Linked DNA regions of Bombyx mori. The protein of the gene in region 3 interacts with the protein of the main gene of each other region in a biochemical or structural test. Links are inferred from orthologs where the notes say so. Each region holds a gene or a part of one and is shown on either strand. Other genes may lie near its edges.

The links.
Region 1: of the proteins of ubiquitin-like modifier-activating enzyme 1 (region 3) and ubiquitin-conjugating enzyme E2 G2, one has a biochemical effect on the other in vitro, tested with the Homo sapiens proteins (5 studies listed by BioGRID, with this or other methods). The link is inferred for Bombyx mori from reciprocal best matches to the Homo sapiens genes UBA1 and UBE2G2.
Region 2: of the proteins of ubiquitin-like modifier-activating enzyme 1 (region 3) and ubiquitin-conjugating enzyme E2 T, one has a biochemical effect on the other in vitro, tested with the Homo sapiens proteins (4 studies listed by BioGRID, with this or other methods). The link is inferred for Bombyx mori from reciprocal best matches to the Homo sapiens genes UBA1 and UBE2T.
Region 4: of the proteins of ubiquitin-like modifier-activating enzyme 1 (region 3) and ubiquitin conjugating enzyme, one has a biochemical effect on the other in vitro, tested with the Homo sapiens proteins (3 studies listed by BioGRID, with this or other methods). The link is inferred for Bombyx mori from reciprocal best matches to the Homo sapiens genes UBA1 and UBE2G1.
Region 5: of the proteins of ubiquitin-like modifier-activating enzyme 1 (region 3) and ubiquitin-conjugating enzyme E2 J2, one has a biochemical effect on the other in vitro, tested with the Homo sapiens proteins (2 studies listed by BioGRID). The link is inferred for Bombyx mori from reciprocal best matches to the Homo sapiens genes UBA1 and UBE2J2.
Region 6: of the proteins of ubiquitin-like modifier-activating enzyme 1 (region 3) and Ubcd4, one has a biochemical effect on the other in vitro, tested with the Homo sapiens proteins (9 studies listed by BioGRID, with this or other methods). The link is inferred for Bombyx mori from reciprocal best matches to the Homo sapiens genes UBA1 and UBE2K.
Region 7: of the proteins of ubiquitin-like modifier-activating enzyme 1 (region 3) and ubiquitin-conjugating enzyme E2 W, one has a biochemical effect on the other in vitro, tested with the Homo sapiens proteins (5 studies listed by BioGRID, with this or other methods). The link is inferred for Bombyx mori from reciprocal best matches to the Homo sapiens genes UBA1 and UBE2W.

The regions. Positions count from the first base shown.
Region 1 is NC_085107.1:15,239,403-15,242,080, reverse strand, and holds part of ubiquitin-conjugating enzyme E2 G2, read right to left. Parts: intron 936-2,678; coding exon 795-935; intron 673-794; coding exon 551-672; 3' UTR 1-550. UniProt on the Homo sapiens protein: Accepts ubiquitin from the E1 complex and catalyzes its covalent attachment to other proteins. In vitro catalyzes 'Lys-48'-linked polyubiquitination. Involved in endoplasmic reticulum-associated degradation (ERAD).
Region 2 is NC_085126.1:11,811,434-11,814,995, reverse strand, and holds ubiquitin-conjugating enzyme E2 T, read right to left. Parts: upstream 2,068-3,562; 5' UTR 1,930-2,067; coding exon 1,674-1,929; intron 1,121-1,673; coding exon 906-1,120; 3' UTR 501-905; downstream 1-500. UniProt on the Homo sapiens protein: Accepts ubiquitin from the E1 complex and catalyzes its covalent attachment to other proteins. Catalyzes monoubiquitination. Involved in mitomycin-C (MMC)-induced DNA repair.
Region 3 is NC_085114.1:15,613,383-15,615,893, forward strand, and holds the end of ubiquitin-like modifier-activating enzyme 1, read left to right. Parts: intron 1-320; coding exon 321-626; intron 627-916; coding exon 917-1,690; 3' UTR 1,691-2,011; downstream 2,012-2,511. UniProt on the Homo sapiens protein: Catalyzes the first step in ubiquitin conjugation to mark cellular proteins for degradation through the ubiquitin-proteasome system.
Region 4 is NC_085122.1:9,586,214-9,590,363, reverse strand, and holds the start of ubiquitin conjugating enzyme, read right to left. Parts: upstream 2,801-4,150; 5' UTR 2,713-2,800; coding exon 2,667-2,712; intron 2,288-2,666; coding exon 2,185-2,287; intron 1,851-2,184; coding exon 1,753-1,850; intron 1,072-1,752; coding exon 893-1,071; intron 1-892. Other genes in the region: myb-binding protein 1A, read right to left, coding at 3,594-4,150. UniProt on the Homo sapiens protein: Accepts ubiquitin from the E1 complex and catalyzes its covalent attachment to other proteins. In vitro catalyzes 'Lys-48'-, as well as 'Lys-63'-linked polyubiquitination. May be involved in degradation of muscle-specific proteins.
Region 5 is NC_085127.1:11,027,151-11,031,165, reverse strand, and holds the start of ubiquitin-conjugating enzyme E2 J2, read left to right. Parts: upstream 1-1,215; 5' UTR 1,216-3,033; coding exon 3,034-3,699; 3' UTR 3,700-4,015. UniProt on the Homo sapiens protein: Catalyzes the covalent attachment of ubiquitin to other proteins. Seems to function in the selective degradation of misfolded membrane proteins from the endoplasmic reticulum (ERAD).
Region 6 is NC_085107.1:6,308,503-6,312,544, forward strand, and holds the start of Ubcd4 (ubiquitin conjugating enzyme 4), read left to right. Parts: upstream 1-1,242; coding exon 1,243-1,305; intron 1,306-4,042. UniProt on the Homo sapiens protein: Accepts ubiquitin from the E1 complex and catalyzes its covalent attachment to other proteins. In vitro, in the presence or in the absence of BRCA1-BARD1 E3 ubiquitin-protein ligase complex, catalyzes the synthesis of 'Lys-48'-linked polyubiquitin chains.
Region 7 is NC_085117.1:6,909,219-6,912,718, forward strand, and holds part of ubiquitin-conjugating enzyme E2 W, read right to left. Parts: intron 3,052-3,500; coding exon 2,896-3,051; intron 1,138-2,895; coding exon 1,062-1,137; intron 388-1,061; coding exon 374-387; 3' UTR 1-373. UniProt on the Homo sapiens protein: Accepts ubiquitin from the E1 complex and catalyzes its covalent attachment to other proteins.

The DNA.
Region 1 (2,678 bases), on a different chromosome or scaffold from region 3:
ATAGGTTCTCAAAACCCTCTCTACCACAGCTACTCAAAACTAGAATTAATTAAGTAGGAAATTTGTTCTGTAAATTTTACATTGCAGTACCAAGCCCGTGATGCTTTCCTCGATTGGCTAAGCAGGTCTCATAAAGTTTAATGTTAAAAACCTTTATATGAATATAATTATTGTAGTTTAACAAATTGTAACTTCAACATTTATAAATACAAAACATTATTTCTGTTAAAAGTTTCATATCTCTTTCATGATAAATAAAATGACCAGAGGTCAATCGGTTTGTTAATTGACGCTCCTTAAGTCAATATAATTGATATAACAAGCAAAGTCTAATAAGGCTTCCAAAACTAGTTGGCAACATTCTAATATTTTATGCATGAGCTTTGCAGATAAAAGTTGATAAAAATGTTTGTTAAAAGTGAATATATTATATAACATTATAAATATAATTTGCGAATAATAAAATACCGTACCTAAACGTGATATCCATTTCAGCATTTACTTAGCATCTCATTTAGATATTGATATAAAATAATCAAGAAATAAAATATTAAGGAGGGGGCAGGTCCAGAGTTTTCCTTACGATTTCTTCGGCTATTTTATTAAATTGTTCTCTGTCTTCTCTCCACATTTTGGCAGCATCGACATTGGCTCCACTTTCGTCGTTGGGTTCTGAAATATGTTATTATTGAACAAATTCAGCTTCTGTCTACATTAATGATACAATAATTTATTTAGGGGTAAAAAATATATATTGCTGTTTTGGAATTCAAATTGTAAATTTTAAAACCCACCTGCTAACATGCTGACAACAGAGAGCAGTATTTTTTCGACACTTTGTACAGGTGACCATCTTTCAGCACTGGTTTCGTAGCCCATTGGATCATCACCTGGTGCATGTAAGATTGATATGCATACCCGACCATCAGCATATACTGTAAATTGAATAAATTTAATTAATTTCATGTTTTTTAAAGTTTATAATCTTAGTAGGCTGACGGCATTTTCCATTTTTCTGATGATGCGTGGTCATCGTCGTTTGCGGCAGCAATAATAAGGAGTGCCAACACACTACTTGAGACAGAAAATACTTCACACCTCATACACATGATACATTTCGCGAAACATCATAATATAGAGAATAGACATTCGTACTAGAGCCTGTCACACAAATGAACAATGAAGACCTACAGTGGACCAGTGGGTGGTTTATGGCCTTTTTTTCTTTCTTTTTTTCTCCTACCTATGCTGATAGCCTTCAGTGTGCAGTAAAAATTAACCCAATTTTGAATGCAGTTGGAACAGCGCCCCTAGCGGAAAACGTAGGCAAACGATCCCATTGCATGCAAATATGAGCTAACTTTTACGCTATTGAGAACGTTAATAAACTAGAACTAAGCACACAGAGGCTATTTCAGTTTCGCCATAACGTATGGGTGAGCTCACAGGGTTCAAACCGGTGTGATGCTAGCACTGGCCCTAGCAAGGACCGTGCTTCGCAGAATCTACCACCAGATCGGAAACGCGACCCGCTGAGAAGATCCGGCGAGAAACTCAGTGGGCTGCGTCTATGGGTTTATGGCTATAACTCTTCCCCAGTGATCTTTCGAGCAATGAATTATGCAATTAAAAATGAGATCGCAGAATATATAAATTCTTCTCAGTAAAGATGCAGAAACATACAGTACATTTCTAGAGAACAAAAGTTTTTCCATAGGGCCATGTAGCTCGTCATGAGTAAGACTATGAGTACCTACCTACCTACTTAATGATTGTTGTTATGTTAACATTGAATTTTGTCAAAAACATATTTTACTAACCTTATTTAAAAAAAACATACTAGGTAATAGGATTTTAACTAAGACAATTATCTCAAAAAATATTGTTTATTGATAATGAAACCATTTGCCTTTCAATTTATTCCGAAAGATGGTAAGTTTTTGTCAGTTGCTCTCTTAATTGTAAAAAAGTAATCCAATTTTAATACCAAATTTAACTTTATATTTATGAAAAAGAGCAATGTAATCATTTCATTTTTGAACTGCAAATACATTTTCATGCCATCAGATGTGCATTGTCATTGCAATTAAATACAAGGTTGTTTATAGGTTATCAAATACATATTATTTTAATTTAATAGTTTTATTTTTGTTATTGAAACATAGTTGCAATATTGCAATTTTATTAATTGATAACATGTGACCTCCTTAATAAAAATAAACAATGTTATCAATATATTTATGCATATAATGATGAAATGACTTTTAAATAATAATTTTAAAGCTGTTTTTTTAAACATCTAATTATATTCTTTATAAATATTTGAATAAGTATGTACATAGGTAGTATTTATAATTTTCTTGGACATGTTATTCCATACCATGAGTTCTAGAGAAGTTAGTATTAAAATTAGCTTTACTTTCAATTCTTGATACAGAAACACCATTTTAGACCGTATATTACTGAGCATTAAAAAACAATAAAAAAAGTGTACAGGTATGTCTGCCTCAAACTACTTGATAGAAACTAGAACAGTAACAAAATCTTGGGATGATTTTGGTGCTTTGAGAAATATATTCTGGATAAATTTTCTGTTCAATTTAAAATGTCAATCCTTCAACCAACTTATCTTCACTGGTCATAATTTATAGTCACTTGCCTAATATACTTTCACTAGA
Region 2 (3,562 bases), on a different chromosome or scaffold from region 3:
AGGAACTGCTAATGCTAGTGTTAGCAAATTCTCTTAGGTTGAGCCTGTGTGCTCACCTACCCTTCCGGTCGTAGCTGGAATAACTTCTAATGCTACCAGCAAATTGGTAGGGAAAAAAGAACAAGTCCATATATGCAAAAACGACTATATCAAAGGTAAAATGGACCAGTCTTGTGACAGATATTGACACTTATATGTATTCACTTTCAAAGTCCAAATCGTCAGTTGCATTCCTGCAATTGATGCTATGCTATGGCTATGTATGCAGTTTATCAGAGTGAGTTCATATCCCTGTTGTCTTATTTCTAGCGCAGCACACAGTACAGAAATATTGTCCATAGATTTGCTTCACACTGTACACAGTTATACCATGAATACCATGATGAAGGTTATACCCACAACTACTTTGTGAAATATGCAGGTTTGTGGTACCAACACCTTTGATCTAACACAAACAGTTTAATAAAAATAAAAACAGAAAATCAGAAGAAAAACAAAAGTTGTAACAAACACTTTTTTTTTAATATTGTATGGGCACTTCTCTTATCAATTTCATAAATTATTATAACAGGTACTAATTTTGTATTTTCTATTAATAATGGAATATATCATATAAAAATATATTGTTAGCATATATTAGATACACAGCTTAATACTCATTGCAGATATCAAGACAATGTTTGATGAGATGCATCTAAAATTGTGAAAGTATCCTATAAGTATCCTGAAAGTTATACATATACATATAAAACAAAGGGCATATAAAAACAATGAATACGGCCTACATTTTAAGTACTCTAAATCAAGTGGGTCAACAACTTTGGCCTGTAATCATAAAACTCTATTCCTTTTCACTTAATAATAAATTCAAGTTAACATTTTTTATGTTATCATTAGTCCTGATATCACACAGCATATTTCTCAGTTTGTTGTTTAGCATTCTGAATAAAAGTATCCATGTTGTATTTATACTCATAAGCGATATCCATCATCAGTGGGTCATCAGGGTTTGGGTTCGCGAGGAGTGATTGTAATGAAACAAGTAACGTTTCCAGTGTGATCGTCGGTAACCAAGTACCTTTTGGTGGCATTTTTAACAGGTCCATACATATTCTTCCTCCTGCAAAATAAATTAGAATATTGGAAAGTGTATTGTTTTATTTTTATTTGCTGTTGCTAGTTTTTTTTGTAGTTTATGATAGATAAACATTTTAGTACGTTTTTCTATAGTACTTAATTCATAGTTATTGTTTTAAATTATAAACATGACTATAATAATTCTATCTCAATACCTACTGAGACCAATGATTACTCGCCATCCTCAATAAACCAAATTTACAAGTTTACTTAAGTGTAATACAAGTGCTTAATCACTTCCTTCTTATTGTTATTTCAGGCAAATATAATACTAAATCTAATACAAATATAACACAGTCTGATGTTGACCTGGAATAGCACTGTCTGAACGCCTGAAACAAAAGGCATGGCGGTAGGTCTTAAGTGAGCCCAAATAGGTAACACCATTCTATTTCTGTCGTGATCGTTCGATCTTCGCGTATTTCACAATGGTCCACAATAACCGTCAGTCAGTATAGCCCAGTACATTACAGTTAAACATTTAATACCAGGTGAACCGTGTGTCCTACAACATTATAAAACTTATTAGTACCTACCATTGTCAATATTAGGATGATAAACTGGTGTTATAAATTTAACTAAAGGAGGCTCGAACGGATATCTTTCCGGGATAGACACAGTTAATTTGAACGTTCCTTTCTCGTAAGGAGATCCCTTTGGTCCAAGAAGAATAACGGACAGGTTGTCATACTGATCGTCTTTTAACGGAAAACAACTAATCCCCCAAGGTGGCTTCATTTCAAAATTCTTCACCTCACGCGCGATGCGAGCAGCTCTAGCACTTGATAGCATAGTATTACTTGATATTTAGATACTTAATTTCTGAGAGAAGATTCGTACTTTTTAATTCAATTCATTGTTATGACCGGGACTAAGAATTCTAAGTTCCCGGGACATAAAACTTCAAACAGTTTGAAGTTCTACAAAACAAATAGATTTTTTTGAGTCGTTAATAGAATAGGCAAAGATAACTTAAGCTATGCAGGCTATACTATACCCAAAACTTTTTAAAGACGTCTAAAAATATATTTATTTGTAATGGAATGTAATCAAATGAAACTGAATGTAATCAAATGAAACTGAATGTAATCAAATGAAATTAATTGAATAGGTAATGAAATGAAATAGAATTAAAAGAGGTAAGATGAGACCGTAAGATCGTAGGTTTTTGGTGAGATAAAATTAAATATCCTCTTAGTAAGCTGATGGGAATTTACTGGTACTTCAGCGAATTTCTTGAAAGAGCCCGTGAAGCTACGTCTAGCTATTTTGTTTAAATTGCTGCTGGCTGTTATTTCATAGGTGTCGAGCAATTTCATTTTCATAAAATTAAAGAAAGGAGTTCATTTAGTTTTCACAGCCTAATTCTTCCTCCATTTTAAGACGCTCGTTCATTTTTAAGGATTTGATCAACTGGAATAAACGCTTTCTCGACGAGCTCTCATTGCTTTCGTTGACCAGTAGCACAGTGAAACGCGTTAGTAATGCGTGTAATATTATTTGTCAAACTGCGTAGCAAATTATAATTTTGCGGGTTTGATTTTTATTACACTTTGCTAATCCTTCACCATGGAAGTGAACATTTGATAAGTACGTATTTCATTAGAAAAATTGGTACCCGCCTGTGGGATTCGAACACCAGTGCATCGCTCGATACGAATGCACCCGACGTCTTATCCTTTAGGCCATGATGACTACCATTATCCCATAGCCTAGTATGCAGCGGCTTGGCTCTGCCCCTAACCATTGTTTACGTCCATGGACGACGGCAACCACTCACAATCAGGTGGGCCGCATGCTCGTCCGCCTAAAAGATCAAAACAAAAACCTGATGACCACTTAGGGTGTTAGATTTGTGTTGATTATGATTTTTTTTTTTGCGTGTTTAAAAGTGAATTCCATTTACTGATCAACGGAAATTAAGTGTTGCAGCAGCTCCTCCATACCTTTTCCCGTGCTAATAATCTACAAACTTCAAGTTTGAAATTATGCGCCATCAATTGTTACACCAACACCCATACTTTTAGCGTATTGTGCATAATTTATTCGCCATGGATGTAAAAAACAGGTTAGATAAATTACCTCTGGCATTAGTATTTTTGAAGTGAAACTTCTTTAGGTGCGGTGAGAGTAAAATTTAATTCACGACAGACTCGTTGGGGCTAGAGAAAAAAGATACAATTTAGGAAGAGCGAGAGTGAGAAAACAGACAGAGCGTCTAGCGAACCACTCGACCGTGGAAAGAAGGAAAGGATAAAGCGAGCTAGGTCATTTCTCTTATACACAGCACTCCCAATATTACAAGATAATTTTGAATTAAGGGTGAAAAATGAAGAAAACCACAATACTACACACCGCAAAAGAGGTTTCACTTCTTTCAAGTGGACCAAGTTGTACGCGCTCTTAACATACAGCCGAGATATTG
Region 3 (2,511 bases):
TGCTTGCTATGTATTTATAGTAATGAGCAACATACGTTAGTCAGTCAGTGGTTTACATGCAGCGATCCACCGCGGTCGCTGACGCGAATAAACATGTGATTATACCTAGTGTTTTATTGACCGCTCCGATGAGGTTTATGGAGGACAACACGCAACGGACAAACAACTAACACACACACCTCCTCCATCTTCTCCATAAAAACCTCACAAGGTCAACTTCTACAATAGAAACGAAAAATTATACTCATTTCACTCCATTCATTTTATTTGTTTCTCTTGAAAAAAACAAAATGTAAATCTCCAAAATTGTTAAATTACAGAACGCTATAAACGAACGCCCTCACAGTTTCGACGACTGCGTGATATGGGCGAGACATCATTGGGAGAACCAATACGCGAACCAGATCAAGCAGCTCCTTTACAACTTCCCGGCGAAACAGTTGACCACGAGCGGAGCGCCTTTCTGGTCCGGACCGAAGCGTTGTCCTTCACCCCTCGCCTTCGATCCTAATGATGAACTACACGTCGATTACATTGTTGCCGCAGCGAACCTCAGGGCTACGGTATATGGAATCCCATCCTGTGTTGACAGGGAAAACATCGCCAAGCTTGCCGCTAGCATACAGGTACGTAAAACTCTGAATAAATCATTGTTTACGGCAAGAGTAACTCTACTTATGTTGCATCTTGGATCATGTGATAATAGGTTGTAGAACAATTTGATTCATACACCTGGTGCATCCGCTTCTATTTAATAGATATTAACTAGTATCACAGGCATTGTTAATGAAATATCAGACCTATATTTGTTAAAATTTATTATTTTCCTATAAACTAGAACATTACAAACAACAACGAAACAAAAATGTATCCTAGACATTTGATGGTGGTTATTTTATTCTATTTTATAATTCAGGTACCGAAATTCAGCCCCAAATCCGGCGTGAAGATCGCGGTGAGCGACGCCCAGTTACAGCAAAACAATGACGAGATGGATCAAGACAGGGTTAAGAACATGATCGCAGAGCTGCCGTCTCCAAGCAAACTCGGATCTCTTAAGATCACACCGCTAGAATTCGAAAAAGATGATGATACAAATTTCCACATGGACTTCATCGTTGCCGCCTCCAACCTGCGGGCTACCAACTACAAGATCACGCCAGCCGACAGACATCGCTCTAAACTCATCGCTGGCAAGATTATCCCTGCCATTGCCACTACAACATCCGTGGTGGCTGGCTTAGTCTGCCTCGAACTTTACAAACTGGCCCAAGGCTTCAATAAGCTGGAAGTGTTCAAGAACGGCTTCGTCAACCTTGCCCTGCCCTTCTTCGGTTTCTCTGAACCGATTGCGCCGTCGACCAACACCTACAATGAGAATAAGTGGACATTATGGGACAGATTTGAAGTTAAAGGAGAGATTACATTACAGCAATTTTTAGATCACTTCAAAAACGAACACAAGTTGGAGATCACCATGTTGTCTCAAGGTGTGTGCATGCTTTATTCGTTCTTCATGCCCAAAGCCAAGCGGCTGGAACGATTGAACCTGCCAATGTCGGAGGTGGTCACAAAAGTGTCCAAGAAGAAGTTGGAACCGCATGTGAATGCATTAGTTTTTGAATTGTGCTGCAATGATGATGACGGGAATGATGTGGAGGTCCCGTATGTAAAATACACTCTGCCTTAGTCTATTTAATGTGATCTTGAGCCCTCCCAAAGTGGTGCTGAAAAATAATAGTTACCACTACGCAGAGAGGGTTCTATTTAATACCGTGATAGTTAATATAAATTGTGTGATTATATTTGTGCTTCAGAATTTGCTTCAGTCTAAATTTCAAATAATTACTCATAGTCGTTTCGTTTCATTCGTTTGCTCACTGTCAAATGATGATGTGCTGCATTTTTATTATTATTTTACGTCGTGAAAAAGTTTTTTACCAAATTCGATATTTTATTGTAAAATCAGATGGGTCTGTATGTGGAACGAAAAATAAATAAAAAACCAACATACTTTTGTTTCATTTATTATGTAAAAAGGTATAATAACGAAAATATTCCGGACATCTTGCTCGGTAGTGCCAAAGTCATATGGTTCAGGTAGAACTTGATTATTTGAATCTCTTCACAAAAAACGTTAAAAAAATAAACAATCTTTATAAAATATTTCAAAAACAAAGTATTGTATTTTAGGTTACATTTAGTATGCATATAGGTATAAAAGCAAATACGCCTCGGACACAAAACTCCAATAACGAGTTAGTGAATTTCTAGTGATGTAAATTATATTTTGACAAGATTTTAATTTGTGTCTTTTATCAACAGTAAATATTGAAAAGAAATTGACATAGATTTTCGTAAAACTTGATGAGCCCTGGAGTTCGTAGAGATAAGGAGCACTCTACGGAGCCAAAATTAGAAGATTGTTTCTTTACATTAATCGATGAGTAATGTTTATCGGCTGAGGCTGTATTTGTTTATAGACCCTTACATATTGGGAAAGCATAATTC
Region 4 (4,150 bases), on a different chromosome or scaffold from region 3:
AATGTGCGTAAAGGTATGTACGCCCACATATTAAATGTTCAGATTCTATATTTATAGAACAGTTTCTATTCTCTATCAGTTTGAATAATTGTACTAAGATTGAATTTGAATTTTGCCTGGCTTATATCTTGCTTATGCATAATTTGTTTCTGAGCATTGCTAGGTTAACACCAGATGGGCTGTGAGTCGTCTACCCATCTAAGCAATAAAAAAAAAGGTTTGTACAAGAGAGTTAGTTAAATCAACTATCTACATAATACAAATTATTCCTACAGAAGCATTTTATATTTTATAGATAAAAGTACAACTTTGTATTGATAAATATTTTATTTCTTTGTTAGGGAAATCCAAGAGTTAAAAAAATATACATATCCAAAATTTTAAGGTATACTTCAGAAAAATAATGATCGAGAATAGTAAAGATATCTAGTTAGGGAAGATTATATTATGCCTCTCTTAGTACAAAAGTAGTGTCTTTGTGTGTGATGTGTTTAAATAATATGTTAGTGATCGCTACCTGCTTAATTCCCTAATGATATACAAATGTGTGTCTGAAAGTTTAAAATGATATTAATTTTTAAATATTAATGAATTAAATTTCATTCGTGAATTCATTCATTAATGAATTAAATTATTAAATTCAATTAAAGAAAGCGAACTGAAATATCAGTTTTAATTTTGGACATTACAACACAAACAACAGTTTGCCTATCAACTATTTGGTATATTAGCATCATGTTCTGCCTGCTCTAAGCTATATAAATTGCTACAAATGCATTTAATAGGTTAAGTAATATATAATATAATATTCTATAACAAAAACATTTACAACTACAATGAAATTATTGAATTAAAATGGAAACATTTTACGTGCAAAAAAAAAACCACTTACTGCAGCATCAACATTAGCGGGACTCTCATCATTTGGATCAGCGAGCATTGAAATGACACTGATCAGTATAGTCTCAACTGTGTGCACAGGTAACCATCGTTCTGAAGCTTTTTCATAACCCCATTTGTCATCACCTGGCTCGTGAAGTATTGATATGCAGACATCACCATTTTTATCAACTGAAAGTCATATTTTCATTACATTAATTACATAAATAATTCGAGTGTAATCCACATTTGTAGGGACTCCTTAAACCTGCACCATAAATTCCTCTCTAAAATATAATAGAAGGCACCCACATAGTAAATCCATGGTACTAAGAAGTTCACCTTTGCTTTTTTATTAAACTCTTATTTATTTATTGGATATATGGAGTCAATTGTGTAATGGTCCACCTGGTGTTATAGTTACCAGAGTGAAGATCCCATTTTGTAAATGTCATTATCCAGTTTTAGACATCAAGTCAGTCTCAATTGTATTGAATGACACTGCTTTGAAACAGAAATAGTCAGGACAGTACAGACTCGTTTGGATGAACAATACGTTCAATAATTATAAATACTGTAGTTTTCATATTTATTTTCTATACAATATTTATTAGCTGTAATCATAATGAATTTGTACCAATCAAATTACCCTTAGATTTTAATGAGTGAAGCACTTTACAGTAATGCTATATTTCTCTAATTCAGTGTATCAAAACAAAACAAAAAATACTTAGACATCTAATTTATGATAAGCACTCGCAAAACAAACTTAATGGGTTTGTTTAGCTTTAAGTCAATATAAAAGTAATCTAAACTTAAAATGTTAAAAATACTCTACTATTATTAACTAAAAAAAATTATCATCATACTCACTATTTGGATGCCATATTTCAGTCACAAATTTCATCCGGGGTGGTCTCAAAGGATATTCCTTGGGAAAATTTAAATGTGCTTTAAAGAAACCTCCCTCGCTGAAAATTATTTTTATTAAGAATAAACAACATGTCTCATAATTTAATACTTTTCTTTATTAAATAGATGGTTAAAAAACTTGCAGCCTGTATGGTGGTTACAGGAGTCTTTAGACATCACAATGTGAATGTTGCCACCTGCCTTGAACCATCAGAACTGAATAACTTGAAGCTTCTTTCAAAAAATATGCAGGATGATATACATCTACACATCTTAAAGGCTATACACCATACCACCAGCATTTTTATAAACATTACAATATGCAAACAATTAATAATAGTGATTACTGAGAGATATAGCTTTGAACTATATATAACTTGGGTATTTACTCACTATAGTGTGTCTGGGGGACCAATAATGAGGACTTCCCATTTGTATATATCATTGTCATCTATTAAGCCAGCAGAAAAGCCTTCTACTGGGTTTTTGTTCAGTTCTGAAATAAAAAAAAGATTTAAAAGACACTCATTTTACAAACGACAATGCACAGATCGGAAGATTATGGACATTTAACCGCATTGTTCGCCAGTAATGTGAACCTTTGCCAAATCCAAATCGTAAATACACTCGATCTACAGTTTGACTTTGGCAAAGTGTACCTGTCATCGCAACGGATATTGATTTTATTTGGCAGGTTTATTCCTCATTAATTAACCTAACTCCATTAGACCTGAAATATAATCTATAAATGCGTTAAATACTACAATTAATAGTTACCAAATTTGACTCGATAAGGTCAACGAATTTCGTTCAGAACTTGACTAGCGCGGTGACTGGCATATTATACATGAGTTTTATGTTAAATAAGAACTTACCAGCTAATTGCTTTTTTAATAAAAGCGAAGACTGTGGCTCTGACATTAATTACAATTGTGAAATTTACCCTGAAGACACGAAACAAATGATTTTTCGACAAAAGATGGCTGGCAGAGTTTTGAGCAGGTTGTGAAACATATGAGTTACTACTTACTTCCGGTTGATTTTGTGTTGCCATATATTTTCTGTGTCATTCTACTGTCACTGATTAATCTTAATTATATGGTTTGGTTTACAGCTAAAATATAATTTTATTATTCTTTCAATATTGTTTTTTACTATCTAAGTAACGTAGGAAAGCTCTTGAGCTCTGGTAAATGCTTTGTATTATATTGTCATAAGAAGTTAGTGAATTTAAGAAAACATATCGCTTCGTTTGAGCCTTTCTACACGCCAAACTTCATATTGATTACGACAATTCTGTTGATTAGGTTTAAATAATGCGATGAGATTAGTCAACATTTTCTGTAATTTTTAAGGAGGCAAAGAAATGAAGCTATTGTTCAAAACTTAAAAGTATTAGAGTCTAGTCTAGTTACTGAATCCCTTAACTGTCACAAAGTGCATGCCCTTAAAAACTAAGAAATATTTTATCCAAAACAATGGTATTTCATGTGTTCCACACTTCAATCTTCTAATAACTTTATTTGGTCTAGTAACTCAGAGCGGATATTTATAACGCCACCTATTGAGCGTTTCACAGAGTGTAATAACCTTTTTTATAGATGTCGCTATGTACATACTAGCTTTGGTTTTAAATAAATTATGTTTGAATAACTTATATCCAAAGTTAGGTAGTCAAAGCTTGAATGCATATTTTGAGTTAATATTTTACTAAACTAAAGGGAAGAAAGAAAGACGAAATTTTTAAATTATGTAAAATAATTATATTCATTGTGAAAATGATAAATTATACAAAAAATATTTTACAAATCAACTGTTTCAGAATCTCTTCGTTTTTTCTTTCCGTGCGCATCAGCGTGTCCGTTCATGTGTTCTAGTTTTCTTTTGTTTTTTATATTATTCTTTAAATTTTTTTTAGGCTGCTTACTCGCGATTTCACCATTTTTACTATTTTGGTTAATCGCATTAGCTTTCTTATTATTTTCACTCGCTTTTAGTGTACCCTTACAAGAACCTACGATTTCTAACAAAGTATTAAAATCTAAATTACATTTAACATGGCAGCTCTCGTGGAAAATTTTCATGCTGTTTATCAATTTTTTTAGTAATAGGAAGAAATTGTTTTTGACAGCCAATTGCTGTTGCCCCTTCAGTGTTTTTCTTAATGTAATATCAAATTTATTTTCCAAATTATCTAGGCAAGCGAGCGCTTTATCCGTTTCGGGTTTGTTTCTCTTCAAGGCTCGATACAGGCCCGCCAAAAGTTCCAATCCCTCGTTGCGCCGGAACTGTCTAACTTCGGGATTGAACACATTCTCGATTACGATCGGGGCTAACTCATAAATTCCTTCCCATTCCA
Region 5 (4,015 bases), on a different chromosome or scaffold from region 3:
GCAAAGACAGGAGAAAGCCCTCCAGTTACCGACCGATTACCTTGCTCTCGCACGTGGGCAAGTTGTTCGAGCGGCTGCTCCTGAGGAGAATATCGCCGTATATTCTCCTCAGGCCGGAGCAATTCGGCTTTAGAAGCGGCCACTCGACGACTCTGCAACTGACCCGTGTCCTGCATCACTTGGCGGACCGGCGAAACTCGGGCCAATACACGGTCGCGGTCCTTCTCGATATCGAGAAGGCCTTCGACCGTGTGTGGCACGAGGGGCTGGTCCACAAGCTGCGGGACGCGGGCCTACCGCACGCTCACGTGCGACTGCTCGGGTCGTATCTGGAGGGCAGAACCTTCTTTGTCGCGGTCGAGGGCGCACGGTCTTCCGTGCGTCCCATTACGGCCGGGGTTCCCCAGGGTAGTGTCCTATCTCCTATCCTATACGCCCTCTATACCAATGACATCCCCACCCTGGAGGGTCACCTTCGGGCGTGGGAGGAGGACGTGAAGTTGGCCTTGTTCGCTGACGACTCGGCCTACTTCTCGTCCTCTCCGTTCCCCTCTGCAGCCATCATGAGGATGCAGAGGCTTTTGGATTTACTGCCCCAGTGGCTGGACCGTTGGAGAGTCGCGGTCAATGTGGGAAAGACCGCGGCCTTACTCTACGGTCCGGTCCGTATCAGAGTTGTCCCAAAGAAACTCAGCCTCCGAGGTGTGAATGTCGAGTTCAGGACCACGGTCCGGTACCTCGGATGCGACATCGACCGCTCTTTGAGCATGGTCGCGCACGTCAACCGAGTCATCGGTCAGGCCCGCGCGGCCATGTTCTTGTTGCGGCCGGTGTTTGCGTCCGGGCTTCCGACCAGGACCAAACTCGCCATTTAAAAGACATACGTCCGTTCCCGCCTCACATACGCTGCTGTGGCCTGGTATCACCTGTTGTCGCCGTCCCAGCGATCTAGGTTGCAGGCCCAGCAGAGTCTTTCCCTCCGCATTATCGTCGGGGCCGGGCAGTACGTCAGAAATGACGTTATTGCCCGGGACCTAGGTGTGGAGTCGCTCGTGGAGGCTGCACCCCGTAGGTGCAGCCTCATTTCCATGAAGGGCTTTGACCCCACCCCCCACCCCCTTTTGGGATGGGGTGTTCTTACCCGCTGCAGTCCTCCCCCCCATCAATATTGTATAACGATGGGGAGAGGGGGAGAGGACTGCAGCGCGGAGTGCGGATTTGCTCTCTCCCCCATATTAGGTTAAGTTAGATTAGGATTAGGTTTAGGTGTGACGGCGCGCGCTGTCCCGGCACTCCACGGAGTGCAGGAGCGGCGCGCTGTCGTCGCTTAGATGTAAGTTAGATTAAGTTAGGTGTACTTTAGGTTAAGCTAGGATAAGATAAAATTGTAAAAAAAAAAAAAAAGAAAAAAAAAAAAAAAAAAAATAAAAAAAAAAAAAAAACAATATGGAGGAGAGCAGCAGCCGCCCCCGGAAGAAGAAGGAAGAAAGAAGATGAAGAAGTGAAGACAGAAATCGTCCCACCACTTACCTCGAGCCTGTATACAGTCCATCCCGCAGTGCATCACCCCTGCCTTAATAGGCGGGGAGCTACAAGTCCGGGTAGAGGGGTTTCCCCGAGGCCCGCTCCGCGCCCCCGTAAGGGGACGCGACGACCCCACGACTGCAAATTCAGTTCGAGACAGCGAGCCGACGAGTCAAGACCTCTCCAGAAGAAGAGGAGAGAGCCGTCGAACAAGAAAAGACTCGCTCCTACGCCCTGCGCCGGTCAAGCCACGAGGACCGTGTGAACGCCATACTTGAAGCCTTCGTTATTTTCCTCGAACCAATCCCAGCACCCGTTCCGCGACAGCCACTGCGGCAATACTCGAGCCACCACGTTTCAACGAGTAAGAAGTCTAAAAATCACACGTGGTGGCCGAAACCTGAGCGGTGGCCGTCCGGAATATTAACCTATTAAGTTAACCTCTGGTGTTACGTTGCTTATTTATTTAAGCTAGTAATAATAAGCTTATTAAATCAAATTTACCCGCTGATTATTGACACCGAAAGCACATTATTGGGTGGGCTAACCAAAAACCAAAATCATCCAAAGGAATCTTTTAATCTTGGAATGCCTTGCCGTAACCACAGGTTACTATGGGATACTGCATTTTGTTATACGAAAATGCAAACAATGAATTAAGAAAAAATGTGTGTTTTATTAATTAAGTAGTTATTTGTGCAATAAGAAACTTTGCTCTCGTGTAGCACACATAACTTCTACCTCAGCAGTGAGAAAGTGAGAACACATAACTTAGGAGACATAGATGAACAGGAAAAGATTGAAATAACTAATAAATTCCAAAATCTAATTTCGAAGGAGTTTGTTTTTTCACTCGCTTTTTTATACGCATGTGAAAGAGATAGAGCACAGTAAACTTCGAATGTTTCAAATTAATGGCTGAACAATGTCAGTTCGTGGCACTGAAGATTGAAAACTTAAAAAGCTACTTTGATCCAAGCTCGAATCAAAATCGCGTTTTGTTCAATGTTGTCTCACAGCAAAAGCTACATATTTGAGCTGCTGAGGTGAAAAGGTATTTTAACGGTCTATTTTGATACATATGGTCCATTCCATTTAAAGTTTTTTTTTGTGATTATAGGTTATAAGGATAAGGATAAGATAAGGATATAAGGCTATTCCATTCAAACAAAAAATATTTTGTTTTGTAAACAAAAGTAGCTCATTTAAATATCGGTTTTACAATACATGTTTGTTCACTTTTTAGAGTAGTCTGTTAGGCTTTTCTTTTAAACGCGAGATACGTTGCACTATAAGTACCATTACTGTCAACAATGTTAAATGTCTACCTTGCTTGCTCTACTCTGTGCCATTGTGATATTGCTATTTGTCGTATGTACATTACATACCCATTTATTAACTAAAACAGATTGGTTTTAAGAAATGAAAACATTTTGTATGTAGTCATTTGCTATAAAACATTTTACTCGAAGAACTGTAAACACTCAAAAGTTAACAATTCATGTGAACATGGCAAAAACAAAGGTGACAGGAGCCACTAGCAGATTGAAGCAGGATTATTTGAGGCTCAAGAATGACCCAGTACCATATGTTACGGCCGAACCTGTGCCGTCCAACATACTGGAATGGCATTACGTCGTTAAAGGGCCGGAGAAAAGTCCCTACGAAGGGGGATATTATCATGGAAAGATTATTTTCCCAAGGGAATTTCCGTTCAAACCACCTTCGATTTACATGATAACACCGAATGGCAGGTTCAAGACAAACACACGATTGTGCCTCAGTATTACAGACTTTCATCCGGACACTTGGAACCCTGCTTGGTCTATTTCTACGATCCTTACAGGTCTGTTGAGTTTTATGTTGGAGAAGACTCCTACATTGGGGTCCATTGAAACTTCAGAATACCAAAAGCGATGTTTGGCTGCAGAATCTCTAGAGATAAACATAAAAAATAAAATGTTTTGTGAATTGTTCCCTGAATATGTAGAGGAGATTGAACAGCAATTAAAACAACGACAAGAGGCAATGTTGTTGAATCAAGACAGTGGTGCAAATGAAGTAACCTCTGAGCCACAGTCTAGTATGAATTGTATTTTGACAAATCTGTTTGTTCTTGTAGCTTTTGTATGCCTTACTTACATGGTCAAACATGTTTTAGGATCATATGAATAGTCTTAAATTTATCTTATTGAGCAAAAGAAACAAAATTCACATCTGCCGGCTGGTCTTTTGTTTTTTAAATGTTTATAATTACATTTATTTGCTCTACAAATGCAATGTACATATTGTAATTTATTTTGTAAATAATTGTTATTCAATCTTGAAATAAACCCATGTTTGACCTTAAATAAAACTTGATTTTATGTAGGTAACAATGTATAGAGTTTAACATGCATTGCATGAGGAATGTCTACTAAGGTTTTGCTACTTTTACCGTGTCATTTATTTTTAAATGTATTCAACAACAAGCCTTTATTTGAAGACCGAA
Region 6 (4,042 bases), on a different chromosome or scaffold from region 3:
ATTTAGGTTTGAAACTGACTACTTATTACTCTGAATTCCGTTCTTTGTGTGTATTGTGAACCGTTTTCATAAGTGCTCACTGTTGATAACTTCTTAAAAATATATTTTCGTTATTGATGAACAAGATAGCTCATTCTTTTGAAGTGACTTTATTAAATTTGTAATAAGCAATTGCTGTGTGTTAGAATTTTACCTTTACACCTTTAACAGCACACTTTTAATTTTATTATGATTGTCTAATTTGGTTACTTATACACTAAAATGTTAGAATTACATTAGTTTTCTATAAAGTTACACGCCTTTTATCTTGTAATTAAGTAAACAAATGCATTATTTTTATTGTTTGGATAATGTTAAGCATCCTCAGTAAATCATTTATAGAATTTTATTAAGTACTGGTAACGACTGTACACAATGAAGTGTGTATTCGGGAACAACGGGCGCCCTTCATAGCCTTGCACGAGTTATTTATGTATGCGAGAGCATCATGTTCTTATTTCAAACACCATTTATTTTTAAATTCATAACATAAACTACTATTGGATTGAGGTACTTAGCATGCATTAGACAAAATTTTAACATAAACATTATCACAACGCACCTTTAAGCGCCAGGTACATAGGTGGAACCCGGTGACATAGGGAGTAAATTAACATAACTTCGTCCTTAGACTGTTTATAACACTGGTCATACCTCAAAATAAGACCTAAAACTTACTCACTATTATTAACAGCAAACATCACGAAACTAAATTAACTTTTATTTTAATATTGCGAATAGGAAATCACAGACGGTAATAAAATTATTGCCACACATTCAAACCAACCACAGTACACAACTTGACTTGAAGCCTATTGAAATGCGTTTACGAATGCGAGGTCTGTTTCTCTTTAAAATCTCATGCAAAATGTTGAGTGATCTGTGAGATTTCTGAACGAAATACAGAGAAAGTAAAATTCATAGAGAAAGAAAACTACCGAAAATTATTGCAATGATATGGTAATACCGTTAGTAAGTGAGAAGAGAATGTCAAATTTATATTTTTAGTCTATGTTCGACGTCAGGGTGTGGTAGAATTTAATTTCAGATATAGTGGTAAACATTTGCTCGGAATACGTTTTTGAAAACTCTTTGGTAGAATATCCTGGTATCAATCTCTTTATTTCATCGCCTGCGATCGTGCGCTTTAAACGTTTTTGAATCCAGTAAAGCAATAAGTGAAAATTAAGTAGAATTTTAACAATGGCAAATATAGCAGCCAAACGTATAAAAAGAGAGTTCAAAGAGATAATGAAAAGTGAAGAGGTATGGATAATAATTTAACTAAACTTTATATTTGTTTTGATGTTTAGAATGTAGAACTGGAGTTACTTGCACTTTTGTTAAAATGTCATATTTTGTTGGAATGCATTATTATTATTTAGATAGTTAAATTGCCCAAGAAACTAAATTGTTGGATTGTCTCGATATAATAAAACAAAGAACAAATAGCCAGTTCAGAACAATGTGTGCGTGATTCAGCAAACTTGTAGAAATCATGTTTTGTTTAAATTCAAAACGTTAATGCTATTTTTAATTCGTCGAAAAGGAATTATTTTACTGCTTCGTAATAGTAAAATTAGCTTTTCAAAATACATCTATAATGTTTTTCGTGATTCATACGAGAAAAAGTAAACATTTTGTTTTCTATATTTTCTACCAATGTTTTTAATAGAAACAATACTTATATTACCCACATTGATCTTTATAAGTAATTGAAGTTGTGTTTAAAATAAAATAAAAGATTTTATCCGATTTATGCCCAAGCAAAAGTATTTTTGGCTTATTTATCAAATCACAGTTATGACACTGGTGGCTTCAGGCAACCATTTACTTCCAAAAAGCCAGACATAGTACAGGTATTTTTACATTATTTTGGATTTATTCCCTCATTATTGATTGCCATTGAAATAGAACTTGTGTGTGGGGCACCAGCATCCCCTTGTATATGTGTTCAGCTTACCAAGTAGCAATATTTACACATAACATACCGAATTTTTTTAAATTAAATATCTGTAGCACTATTGTCATGGACAGATTGCCTTATTTATTGCAATTGTAAGAGCACACCTGCGTGCAATGCATGTAATACATTAATGTACCGAACATGATCCAGGCGATACTAAGCTAACAGCATTCATAATCCACATTTTGATTACAATAGTAATTGTCCTCATAAACATGAACTAGACGATGACCGAGCTTTGCTCGGTATTAATTTTTTTTTTGATAAATTGTCTTTCGGTTGGCTTAACAACGTCATCTGTGGAAATAACTTTAGTGTTATTGTGTCTTTAAACAATTATGAAAAATAGTATTATTATTCGCCAATATATGTCGGGAAGTCATAAAGTTGATTATCGATAAAGTTGATTATTGAAAACACAAGTAAAACAACATTTCCTAAAATAAATTCTAGCTAGATCGATTTATCGCTCCCTGAAATCCCATGTATACTAAATTTCATAAAAATCGTTGGAGCCATTTCCGAGATTCAGATTATATATATATACAAGAATTGCTTGTTTAAAGGTATAAGATTCTGTGTTTGTGTAGACTAAGAATATTAAATATCTCAGTCCTAGCCCAAACCCAGCAAAAACTGAATTTTTCATTAGACAAAGTTTTTGCACTTCCTGCAAGTATGTGCTCTCCAATTAGCAAGTATCTTTTACTGCCTAGGTTGTATCTGAAAGCTAGCATGTGTAGTAAGAAGGTTACTCCTACTTAAAATATCTGCACTGCATTAGCACCAAGGCCCAATTTTTGTTTATTTATATATAGTGTAGATTATTGGAACTATCTTCTTATTGAGATCCATATTAAGAGTTTTTCAGGAATACCATTCATTAAATTGAATTACCAGGGCTCTTGCATTTACTTTTCTTAACCTTCTGTACTGAAATAATATACTGTACAATGACACATTGTGTAATTGTGTTAGTCATATTTGTATATCTAAAAGTGCATACTTGCTGCATTGTAAGCTTGCACAATTTCTTATCTCTCTCTAACCTTTAGCTTCTGCACGGCTGCCCACTGAGATCTTCTAGCACCTCACATCTAAATGGAACAAATGTTTATGTTTCTGCAAATATAAACAGCAGGGAAAACAAAGAGGGTTGTAATTGCCAGGAGGAGTGGGATTTGCTAACAACTGCCTTAGCACCTCTAAAGAAAACCTGCCATCTCAAGGGCAATTGCTTCACGAATTCATCTTCTACCAGACCGGAATTGCGCCCCACTGAGAAGATCTGGCGAGAAATTTAGCAGGCTCTAAATGTTATAGAGGGTAGATTTACTTTGAACTCTGACGAGTTTGATGAGTTCGGTTAGCAGGGTTCCTATACTTGCTCCTAGTGTTAGAGTTGCAGGTATCTAATGCAAGAGTTATTGGATCAGATAGATCTGTAAGGACGTGTCTAGAACGTCAACGATGACTGACTCCTGTGTGAGTCTGTGGCGATATACTTGCTCCTAGAGTTAGAGTTGTAGGTATCTAATGCACGAGTTATTGGATCAGATAGATCTGTAAGGACGTGTCTAGGACGTCAACGATGACTGACTCCTGTATGAGTCTGTGGCGATGGTGGCGGATGTGATTTTCATCAAGATTCATTATCATTTCTTCAAGATCTACATATTGCGATGTAACATCATATTACTTATATCTCAATCAATTCTAGGGCTTTAACAGCCTTCATAAAAAGGAGGCTATTTATCAATTCAGCTCTGTTTTTTGTGTTAATTCAAAAGTTTTTCTCGGTCAACTGATTTTTATGATTCTTTTTTTTTTTATTATCAAATTTCAATTTTTATCGAAGTCTGAGCAGTCGTTTTTGAGTTATCCTTATTGATCTATATTTAATTGACATTGATTACATTGATCAAATTATCTCAAAATCAAAAAATGATCTAATTTTAATTTTTAAATTTGGTTTTCTTTTTTTTAATTTCGGTATCGTATTCATAAAGCTGTTTGGAACCCATTTTCGTCCTGAAA
Region 7 (3,500 bases), on a different chromosome or scaffold from region 3:
GAGAAGAATTTGAAAAATCAACATTTTATTACTGTTATATAAGTTCTTCTCTACTAAAGATTTTTTTTTTTATTGCGTAAGTTGGGGAAGAGCTTCAGGGGGAAGAGTATCAGTAAAAGCAAACGTCTCACTAATAACTATAAAAAAAATTGATTTTCTCAGGCAAGAATCGCATAAGTGACATTATAGCTCTGTATGTGCGATATGATCGCGTTTGTGACGGACATTTTGATCCTTGTTGAGGACAATAAGTCCGTCGTTCGACGCGCCCCGTCCCGGACTCGTTCGCGCACCGTACATCCTCATTATTATAACACTTATCACATACTGAGATTTAATCATCCATGTTCGATAGAATGAACCGCATGGCTTGCTACACCGAATCATCTGGAATAATTGAGAGAGCGGTCAATGATGGCTTCGCTGCGTCAGATCTCGGCGCTACTTGTCGAGGTGAGCGGTATCTAATATTCATTGTATTTTCATAGATACCGTTCGTATCGTCTTATCGAAGCGCAAAAAGTACAGAATAAATTCATTATATTAAATTTATGCAATTTTAATGACTCCTTAGTTTTTTTGATTTTACTTTTTGTCGAAACGCAATAAAAAAAAACAACATTTGAATTTAGTATTGTCATTCTCGTATTTTCGCGCCCATCTTTATTAAATATACTTTTGAATTTATAATTTAGTGGGTAATTGTGGTGGGTGAAAAAAGCGGAATAATTTTGATAGTATTACATAAAGTAGATATGGGGTTAAATGTCTCCGTTCGATTGCTACTTTTTTTTAATGTATAATATGAGTTATGCACGGGTTTTAAGCTCTTATTAATTTTATTTATATTCATGTTTTTTTTGTTCTACCCACGAAATATGTTTTAAAACCATTTCAAATTTTCACATCACGATCACTCATTAATATCGGTGTGGTGAAATTCGATGCTGGTATCTGGATATCTCTAATGTAAATGACTTCAAGTCTTAAGATAAAGACGGTTTGATGTTGCAATATATGATACGAATGGACAATGAAAAATAAAATCTTGCTTCACTCACCATGATACCACCATTTTGTTTTCTTAGGATTTTTATTACAGGTTTTAACGTAGAACGAATTATCAGGCGGTCGTCTCTGGAATGTTAAAATTGGATTTTATATATTTAATGACTAAAAATTACTTCTGTTATGAAGCGAATCGATGGGTTCCGGGTTCAAGAGTGGTACAGCTGTCACACAATATAAATCGCACCTTTAAAATTATAGAGACCCAACTCAAAATATGTATTTTTTGGAAAACATCGAATAAAGTTTTCAAACCGAAAAGACGTAGAGGAGGGGAACGTAGTGAAAGAGACCGATAGATAAGCGTGTCCCTTTATAAGCTACTTTTGGTAATTTGATTATTAACAGTCGCTGAAAAAGGTCGTTCTAGATCAATTTTTGAATTAAAGTCGATATCCAGAAATTTCGAAATAGGTCTCTATAATTCTAAAGTTCCAATGGTCTAAATCTAAATGTTGCTTCCACGCCGTGTCTCATAGTGGTTCTCCGCACTCAGGTTGTGATGTCTGTAACCACTTAACACCAATAAGATCAGCTGTCGTCGAGTGCAATAATTAGCGAAAGGATTTCTTTTAATTGCACAGACGGTTGAATGAACTCCAAGCTATCCCGGAGTTATGTGTTTACTGGAATTTCCTATTGAAATTACAAGGTGAATTGTAGTCTCAATTGTAGATATTAACGACTGTACCACTCTTTTCAAGACGACACAACGAAAACAAAATATTCATCATTTGCATAGCTTTTTATAACAGGGAAAGCTGAAAAGTGACGTATAATTATTAATGCACTTAGGTCCATAATATCAATCATGATTTATGCGAAATATTTGGCCATTTTGAAAAGAACCGTTTAAACCCAACGCACGGTTTAAGCTTTGAGATAATTTAAGCTACGGAGGTGAGTTTAACACTGATTTAAATTACGAGTTGATCTTCAGTGATCGTTTAAAACTTCGATATTAGTTTAAACTACGATTGATATTATGGGCCATAGTCGAGGACGTCATTATGCGAATGACAGTGGACTAATTTTAATAGTGTTCCGAATTATAAATGTTAAAGTTTTTGGAGAAGATGTCCCGATTATTTTCGCATCAAACGAGTGTTCGAGTTTAGAATTCGCATTGAACAGACGTAGTAGTGTTTATTCTTTTTTCTTAAGTTTTTTTTACTGGGCAAATGCATTAAAATAACTCGCTTCTTAAAGGACATGGGCCACTCTCCATACTTTGCACGGCCCACTAAACGAAGTTCAAGGACAGCGTAGTTTTTTTTTTGTTAAAGATCAATAATTGTTCATCAATGTAATTTTTAATGATTTATTCACGGATTTAAAAGTATAAAAATAGATTTTTGTTTAGATATAATATTTTATATTAATTTTAAAATCTATTAATTAAATATGTTAATATATTTTGCTAGTTTTTTGCATTATAATGTTTTTTTAAGAATATTTAATGTGAATTGTTTAAAATATAAATAATATATTTTACCCATGGCAACTCCTTCAATATTATCAATGTAGATTAGTCATGCTGATTTCTTTTTATTTATGATTTTAATTAACCCACCATTAAAATGCCCTTAAATTTTATAATAAGTATGTAAAAATGAAATGTTTTTTTCTATAGATATTTCACTAATGTCCTTGAGAGCACGAGTAGCTGGGTCGAAAATGGCCCATGTCCTATATACTACTTTCTTATTCAGAGTTATTTTACTGGATAAACATCTAGATGCATTAAAATAACTCGCTTCTTAAGTTTACACTATCTTCTTATTCAGAGATTGCGTCAAGGTCCGTTATTAAAATAGATCATAATACCTTTTCCTTACAGCTACTGAGCATCGACACGATCGAGAGGCAGACTGATTGCACCGACAGCGCCGGCGACCAGTCGTCGGTGAGGATCGAAAGGCAGATGTGCCCGTTCGAGTACACGTGCGGGTGAACGGGAATGTTGTTGCCTATGAACGTTACCTGTACATACGCAAAATTTCGTTTTCAATTATGCGACATCGATTATTTTTTCTACTAATTTGGAAGTTTTTTTTTAGAATATTTTTTTGGCAACACCAGCTGACCTGTCCCAATTTCAATTTAGTGATTTCTGTTGAATCTATTAAGAGCGTTCAAAAATCAAATTGAAAATTTTGTAAGCCTTTGGAAAAAATATTTATTTGCTTATACTTTCATTTTTTTATTCGGACTATAGCCTGCAGTTGTTGCATTTCTCTATAATTAACGGACGTAGTAGCTTATAAGGCCACGGACGCTTAAGATAAATATAAACACCGTTCCTTATTTAGCAAGAAACAATAGCCACGCCCCTGTTGTCATATATTTAATCGAAACGATGTGAAAATATTTTATTATCATTATGATTCATAATCTTGTTTTATCTTGAAATAGATTAAAAAAAAACGATT